Mus musculus: one gene and its partner. The protein of the gene in region 1 purifies or fractionates together with the protein of each later gene. This does not show direct contact. Links are inferred from orthologs where the notes say so. Each region holds a gene or a part of one and is shown in the gene's direction. Other genes may lie near its edges.

Region 1 (3,500 bases):
ATTGGGGTGGATTCACAGAGGTAGAATAAAGAGGGCATTGCATTGCAGCGATCCAGAAACCTGGATCTGAATTCTCTGTCCCTCTGCTTGGCTGTGATCCAGAGTGAGAACCTCCTAGCGCAGCCAACAGCCCAGTTTGCCCAGGATTGACAGGTGTCACTTTCAGTGTGAAAACTACGAAGTCTAGCCAAACCAGAGTGGTTGGAGCCCTTAGCTTTTCTCCTCTCTTAGCACAAGACAGTGGGACCACTTGCTGTTCCTTTAAGACCTTCACTGTGGTTTGATTCTAATCCAAAGACACCTGGGGAATCTACCGTGTCTGTGTATGGCAATATATCCTGATCTCTACAGCCGAAACAGATCCCTGGGGAGGGTGGAGCTGGGGTGGCCATGATTCTGAGCCTTCACCCTTCTGGCCGTAGAACGAAGAGAGCCACAATGAAGCAGAGGAGTCCGAGGACGAGTTTGAAGAGATGAACCTATCCCTCCTCTCAGCCCGGAGCTTCCCACGCAAAGCCAGCCAGACCAGCATCTTCCTTCAGGAGTGGGACATCCCGTTTGAACAGCTAGAGATTGGCGAGCTCATCGGGAAGGGTCGCTTCGGGCAGGTTTACCACGGACGCTGGCACGGCGAGGTGGCCATCCGGTTGATTGACATAGAGAGGGACAATGAGGACCAGCTTAAGGCCTTCAAGCGGGAAGTGATGGCCTACAGGCAGACGAGGCACGAGAACGTGGTGCTCTTCATGGGAGCCTGCATGAGCCCACCCCACTTGGCCATCATCACCAGGTCAGTCCCTCGGGCTCCGATGGGAACATCTAAGGGCTTTGTGCATGTTAATAGTGTCTTCGGGTCCTCCATCCACGGTTTTCTCACAATCCTTTAGGTCCCCAGAAAATGCCTTTAGGGTTTTAGGGATGGCTGGGAAGAGTACTGCATTGGGAGCCAGAAAAGCCAGGCATGATTGATACTTGTGTCTCATTAGGTAAAATGAGTGAATTGCTTTAGACATAGATCAGCCTGTTTGTGTAGCACTCCCAGTGCTATGTGTGAATTGGCCTCACAGGCCACACAGGTTCGGTCTCAGCCAGTTAGTTCTGCTATTGTCGGTAGGTGGGGGCGGGGGGCACGGGGAAAGCAGCCATAAATGATATATGATATATATGACCATATGGTCATATGATATATGTGATATATTGCGTGACAGTGTTGCAATAAAACTTTATTTACACACCCAAGTAGTGGGCCAGCTCTGCCCCACAGTTTGATCTGAGATGCTGGTGACTGTGATCGTGGCTCTTGATGGTTTACAGAGTGTTTGTGGAGCTATTGCCACCACTGTTCTGAGTATCCTGCATTAGTGGGCTGCAGGGGTTTGGGGATGGGGTGGGGGAGGGTAGTTAACAGAGATTGACTTTTAAAAAAATGGCAGATGACTATCTGATGTAAAACGTTGTCCTTCATTCACATGTGAACTCCTATAGATGACATATGAACACCCATCTGCTGGTGGGTACTGTCAGCCGGGGTGACTCAGTTATGCTGCACACAGTCTCCAGCTCAGTCACGCCCGTGGTGGCCTCTGGTGCCCAAGCTCAGCCAGGGGTCAAAGGTTAAATGCATAGGTACTTTCCATGCACCCTCTGGTCAGGCTCTGGCTGACATCCGTTGGCCAGAGCATCTCCTGTGGCCAGCTGGATTCAAGTGATGGAGGAAGTTGCTCTCTGAATGGCAGACTCTGTAGGGGGAGGACCATAGATAGTCATTTTTACATCCCTCTTCATGGAAAGCCCACCCCCCCCATTCCATACTCTGCACTTCCCTCTCATCAGGAAGCAACTTCTCCTCTCCCAGAAGTGAGGAGCCCCTCACTTGCAGTATACAAGTCCGGTGACCCATGAATCTCAGCGACCCATCCCTCCCCTCCCTCTTTCCAAACTGAGGCTCATTGCACATTTGTTCAGACCCCGCTAGCAGCCTTCGAAAATGAGTGGCCCATTATGAAAATGTATTGCTCACCCTTCAAGCCCAGCTGCACTGCAGCCTTCTGTTCTGTGACAGAACTCTGAGCGCCCCTCCCCACGTGCCATAACAACCTACAGATCTCACAAAGCACCCAGCCACCACCACCACAATAATAATGATGATGGTGATGGTGATGATAATAATAACATCCCTGGCAGCTTTGGGACATCTAATTGGTCTCTGAAGTATTTGGTATTTTGTGTGAGGATGCCAGATGAAACCTGAAAAAGACGTGTTCATTCCAAGGTTGTTGCGGTATTACAGATTTATCATGGGAAAGCTCGGTGAGTGCCCCATTTAGCTCCGTCTACTTGTTAGTCCTTAAGAGTATCCATCTGAACTTCTGCTTGCGGCCAGATAGCTGAGTAATTTGATTAATCATCTGCATTCACACGATTGACTGTTAGGGGATCGGTTGTTGGAGGATAGCCAACTGACTAGAACAATTCTGGGACCTTGGTTTTTATTTTTACAGGGAGTATAAGACCAGATAATTATCTGGCATATTCTAGAGAAATCGACAATGGTGTGTTCTAGCTAACTACTTAGTAATTATCATCAGAGCTAACACGTATTTCTGAGCTTGGGTCTCCTTGTAAAAGCCATATGCTTGGCTCTCAGGAAATGAACAATAACTAGTTAGTTATTCGGTCACTATAGCTTGCAGACAATTCAAATCTGGATGGCTAAATTATTTTACGATTGGGTCATTATGGAATTACTGCGAAAGAGCCAGCAGCCTGCACAGTTGCTCGTGTTGAAAACTTCAAGCGGCATTGAAAGGCCAATAGTGAAGGATTTGATTGACAGTAGCCTCCATCCTTCAGCCCAGCTGTGGGGTTTCCTGAGCCTCAGTTTCTACATCTGTGGGATGAGTGGGCTGAAGCAGGTGTGTGTCCCAACTCTGACAAAACGCTTTGGATCTCTGGGAATGAGCTGTCCGCGACACTGCTGGGAACAGCTTGGAGCAGCAGCAGCTTTCTGAGAGTACTCTGTCTGGACCTCATCTATCCACTGAGGGAGCAAGGCCTCTCAGATGTAGATTCCTGGAGGCTGCTGTGTTCAGTTCCTATCAAGTTACCCTAACTCTGTGGCATCAGGCAGCACACCCTGGGTCTCTTACAGTTATGAAGGGCCTTGAGACTCACTAGACTGATGTAAAAGTGTGGTCGGAAATGAGGTGTGGTAGGGTAGAGGTGTGGTCTGAGGTGAAGGTGTGGTCTAGGATGAAGGCGTGGTCTGAGGTGGAGGTGTGGTCTGTAAGAGGGGACACAGCTTACTGCCTTTTCCACCATGACTTCTGGCTTCTTCTTCCATTTCAAGGCCAGTAGCCTTGTTTCTATGGTTATATCAACTGCTTTGGTCAGACCATCTTTGGCTTCCCATGTGATGGGACAGTTCTGTTTAGGGCCCACCCAGATCATCTGGAACCATCTGTAAGTTGCCCCATTGACATCCAAGGTGGTGATTAGTC
Region 2 (4,118 bases), on another chromosome or scaffold:
GTTATATGGACATTGATATATATCACCATACAAGGTGACATGTATCTTCATAAGTTCTAAAGTGAGACAAGACAAAAGAAACCAAAACTAGGGGCTGGAGAGAAGGCTCAGCGGGTAAGAGCACTGACTGCTTTTCCAGAGGTCCTGAGTTCAAATCCCAGCAAACACATGGTGGCTCACAACCATCTGTAATGAGATCTGATGCCCTCTTCTGGTGTGTCTGAAGATAGCTACAGTGTACTTAGATATAATAATAAATAAATAAATCTTAAAAAACAAAACAAAAAACCAAAACTAAAATAAAAGCAGACATGGAACCAGGAAACATGGAATTTTCCTGTGGCTACAAAATATTCCATAGGTAATTGGGACTTTTATAGTTTCTCCTCCCCTCAAAAAACAAACAAACAAACAAACAAACCAACCAACCAACCGGGGGTCTGGAGAGATTCCCTAGCTGTTATGAGCAGTTGCTCTCACTGGTTGTTCTCCCAGAGGCTGGGAGAGCACAGGATGCTTCCAACTCCAGTGACAGGGGATTCGATGCCCTCTTCTGACCTCTGTTGGGTACTGCACTCACATAGTAAACACACACACACACACACACACACACACACACACACACACACACACACCCAGCAGGCGAAACACTCATCATAAACGTTCTTCTAAGAATCTTCTTAAAAACCGAACAGTTAGAGTTCAAGTCCCCAGGTGCAGCTCCTGAGCGTCTATAGGAGTCACCCAGACGTGGCGAGGGGGTGCCATCTCGAAGCTGACCTAGCTCAACAGCCATCCTTTGGGTTCCTTTTTGACCTCATCACCTGGGCTGCTTGCTGTGTTGGAGAGGCAGAAACCTCAAGGGAAAGCGACATCTTCACGCCCACTGGGTGTCCAGAGAGAGAGGTGCTAGGTGCTACATCGCATTTTCCCAGTCTCTAAGGAGCATCTTCAAGTTCAGGAGGTTATTTTCCGGGGTCAGCATGGCCCGACCTCTGCAGCTCGTGAAGGGCAGGCTGGGTGGACAGACAGGCAAGGCAGACGCTTGTCTGGTCAGTATTTAGTCTGGAGGCAGTGGACGACGAGGCGAGGTGTCAGTCAGCTTCCTCCATCCCTCTTCTCCGGCCCCCACAAAGGGCAAGGGCCAGACACGTGGGCAGCGGTGAAGAGGCGGAGATGCAAACGAACGGGGCGGAGCCTCATTTGCATAGGCAGTGCACGGCCACCAATCGGGACGGGCGGAGCGACAGCCCGCGCGCCTTTTGGGGGCGGATTGGCAGCCCCGTGGCCCTATGGGAGGTGGGTCCTGCGGCCGGCGGGGGCGGGACGACGGCGGGCGCTGCCCGGCGCACTAGCCGGCTTGCGGGCGCTGCCAGTCTCCGGCGGCGGTGTCCGGCGCGCGGCTGAGCGACCGAGCGTGCGGACGGAGCGGCGGCCTGCTGGGCGGGCTGAGCGGCGCGCGCGGCGGCGGAGAGACGCGGAGCGAGGGACGCGGCGGCGGCGGACGCGGCGACAGGTACGGGCGCCATGGCCGCGGGAATGGGGCGCGCGCACGCGGCGGACCCCGGAGCCAGCCCCGTGCTCGCGGTCCCGCTTCTGCCGCCCCTCGCGCGGCTTCCCCGGGATGGCGTGGACGGGACGCGCGGGAGGCCTGGGCCCCGCGTGGGAGGTGGAGCGGCCGGCGCTCTTCTCCAGCGTCTCCCTCAGCGCGGCGGCGGCGGCTCGCTCGCCCGCGCGCGGCTTTTGTTTCCCGCGCAGCCCACAGGTCCGGGGAGCCCCGTGTCGCTCCGCCACGCCGCCCTCCGGACGCGGAGGAAACTTGGCCTTCCGGAGCCCTGCAAGCCCCGCGGATAACGGAGTGCTCCGCCGCGTCCGCGGGGCCGCGCGATGGGCGTGCCGGCCGGGCACCGCCCTCACCTGCCGCTCCCGAGCCGGCTCGCACCGGGCAGGCAGGTGACCGGAGGGTCTCGGAGGTACTGAGGAGGAAGGGCTAATTAAAAGTTGTCTCGGAGGTGGCTGAGCGGGTACAGCCGCTTGCAGCCAAGCGTGACGACCTGGGTTCGATCCCGGGAACCGACATGGTAGTAGGGGAACCGACTCCAACCGCGAGTTGTCCTCTGACCTCCCTGTGTACACAGCACAAACACCACTGGCTCCGATACACATTCTCATCTCTCACCCCCGCTCTCAATAATACTAAGGAAATAAAAGTTATTTTAGGAATCTTCATTCCCTTCGCCCCAGCGGCATCACCACTCCTGTTCCGGCCATAGTCCTTGACTCCAAACCCAGCATTTTGTGTGTGTGTGTGGGATGAATCTAAGGGAGCACGTTGCATTATGACCATCTTCCTCCTCCTCATCTTCGTCTGTGGATGAGCCAGGTGGAGCGCTTGCGCCTCATTTTTTAAATAATTGGTGTCTGCAGCCATGGCGAAAGCGTTGGAAGGTACAGATCGTAAGCAGAGCGTGCAGAACTTGGGACAGCCCTCGGCGGGGCTCGGGACAGGGTGTACAGCGCTTGGCCGCCATTCAGTAAATTCTGCATGCGGCAGTTGGGAGCTGGTGGTTTGGGGATTTTTTTTTTTTTTTTTTTCCCTTCTTCTTCTTTCAGGAGTGTGTTTTCCAGCGGACCAGGGCGTTGAATAGGCACTTTCTTTGCTTCCTTTAGGGGAAGGAGAGAGTGTTTATTTCTATTGTCATCCCATTTTCTTAGGGCTGTGGACAAGGGAAAAGTTAAGGTGTGTTTGGGTTAAGCATTTTGTCTTTTCCTCCCCACTTCTTGCTGTTAGCTTTATATGTTGTTAAAAATTATAGCTTTTCCTCTTGGTGTCTGAATCAATTCAAGAAATGACTTGGAAAAAAATCTTACTTAACCGTTTTCTGTTACTCTCCCAGCTGATCCTCATTTGCCTGACTTTTTGGGGGGGGTATTTTTTTTTTGTTTGATAGTTGAAACATCAAAGTTTTATTCCTTTGTTATTGGGAGTTTACTATTCAATTAAAGCACGTATAAATTTCTGTAACCTAATACTCTCCACACAGCTTTCGCTTTGGAGTGCTACAGAAATGGTGTATTTTAACTATATTTATTTATTTATTTATTTATTTATTTATTTTTCGAGACAGGGTTTTTCTGTGTAGCCCTGGCTGTTCTGGAACTAGACCAGGCTGGCCTCGAACTCAGAAATCCGCCTGCCTCTGCCTCCCAAGTGCTGGGATTAAAGGCGGGCCCCACCACGCCCGGTTTACCTATTTTTAAATGCAAAGGTTAATAATGACACTGGTTTGTTAGCAGCACTGAGTGTTTTTAGCTTTCTTCCCCTTTGTCTTCTGATATGTCTTGTGTGGTAACTGCCTTGGGTGTAATCTATACTTCAGAAATGTTGAACTTCAGAGCACAGTTCGTTTTTATTTAATTACACTAATTGATTGAACAATCATTTTATTCATCTAGCTAGTTTGAGCTAGCTATGAGTTGGGACCACTTGAGATTGATTGATTGATTGATTGATTTTGAGACAGGGTTTCTCTGTGTAGCTCTGGCTGTCATGGAACTCTGTAGACCAGGCTGGCCTCCGAACTCAGAGATCCAACTGCCTCTGCCTCCCGGTGCTTGGGATTAAAAGCACGCGCCACCACTGTCCAGCCACTTGAGATCATTTAAAATTAATTTAGGAATATTTTCTGCAAGTTGTTTTAAAACAAAAGTTCATCAGTGGGGGCTTTTGTCATTCCAACATTTCACAAAAGGATGTTTCTCTATTTACTTTTTAGTTTTTATATCCATCTATCTATCGTCTGTGATAGATCGATCTGTCATTTGTGAGAGTACTTGGCACTGGTGTGGTTGTCAGAGGACAACTTTGGAGTTTTGTTTTCTTCTTGCCCTGTGTAAGTCCTGGACTTGAAATTCAGGTGGCTTAGTTTATTGGCAGGTTCTTTTATCTGCTGAGCAATATCACCAGCCAGCATTTCTTTTTAAAGACAGTTTAAATCACTTAAACATGAAAAGCCTAGAATTTGGGATGAGTTGTTAGTTAATTTTGAGAATTTTCTTTACTTTTGGATTGGAAAAGAATGTGTATTGTGTTGTTAGTTCCTACAGGGGATTCAGTT

The links.
Region 2: the proteins of Ksr2 (region 1) and Fkbp5 purify together in Homo sapiens (affinity purification with mass spectrometry; 3 studies listed by BioGRID and IntAct, with this or other methods). This does not show direct contact. The link is inferred for Mus musculus from reciprocal best matches to the Homo sapiens genes KSR2 and FKBP5.

The regions. Positions count from the first base shown.
Region 1 is NC_000071.6:117,707,502-117,711,001, forward strand, and holds part of Ksr2 (kinase suppressor of Ras 2), read left to right. Parts: intron 1-422; coding exon 423-790; intron 791-3,500. UniProt on the Homo sapiens protein: Location-regulated scaffold connecting MEK to RAF. Has very low protein kinase activity and can phosphorylate MAP2K1 at several Ser and Thr residues with very low efficiency (in vitro).
Region 2 is NC_000083.6:28,483,350-28,487,467, reverse strand, and holds the start of Fkbp5 (peptidyl-prolyl cis-trans isomerase FKBP5), read left to right. Parts: upstream 1-1,318; 5' UTR 1,319-1,516; intron 1,517-4,118. UniProt on the Homo sapiens protein: Immunophilin protein with PPIase and co-chaperone activities. Component of unligated steroid receptors heterocomplexes through interaction with heat-shock protein 90 (HSP90).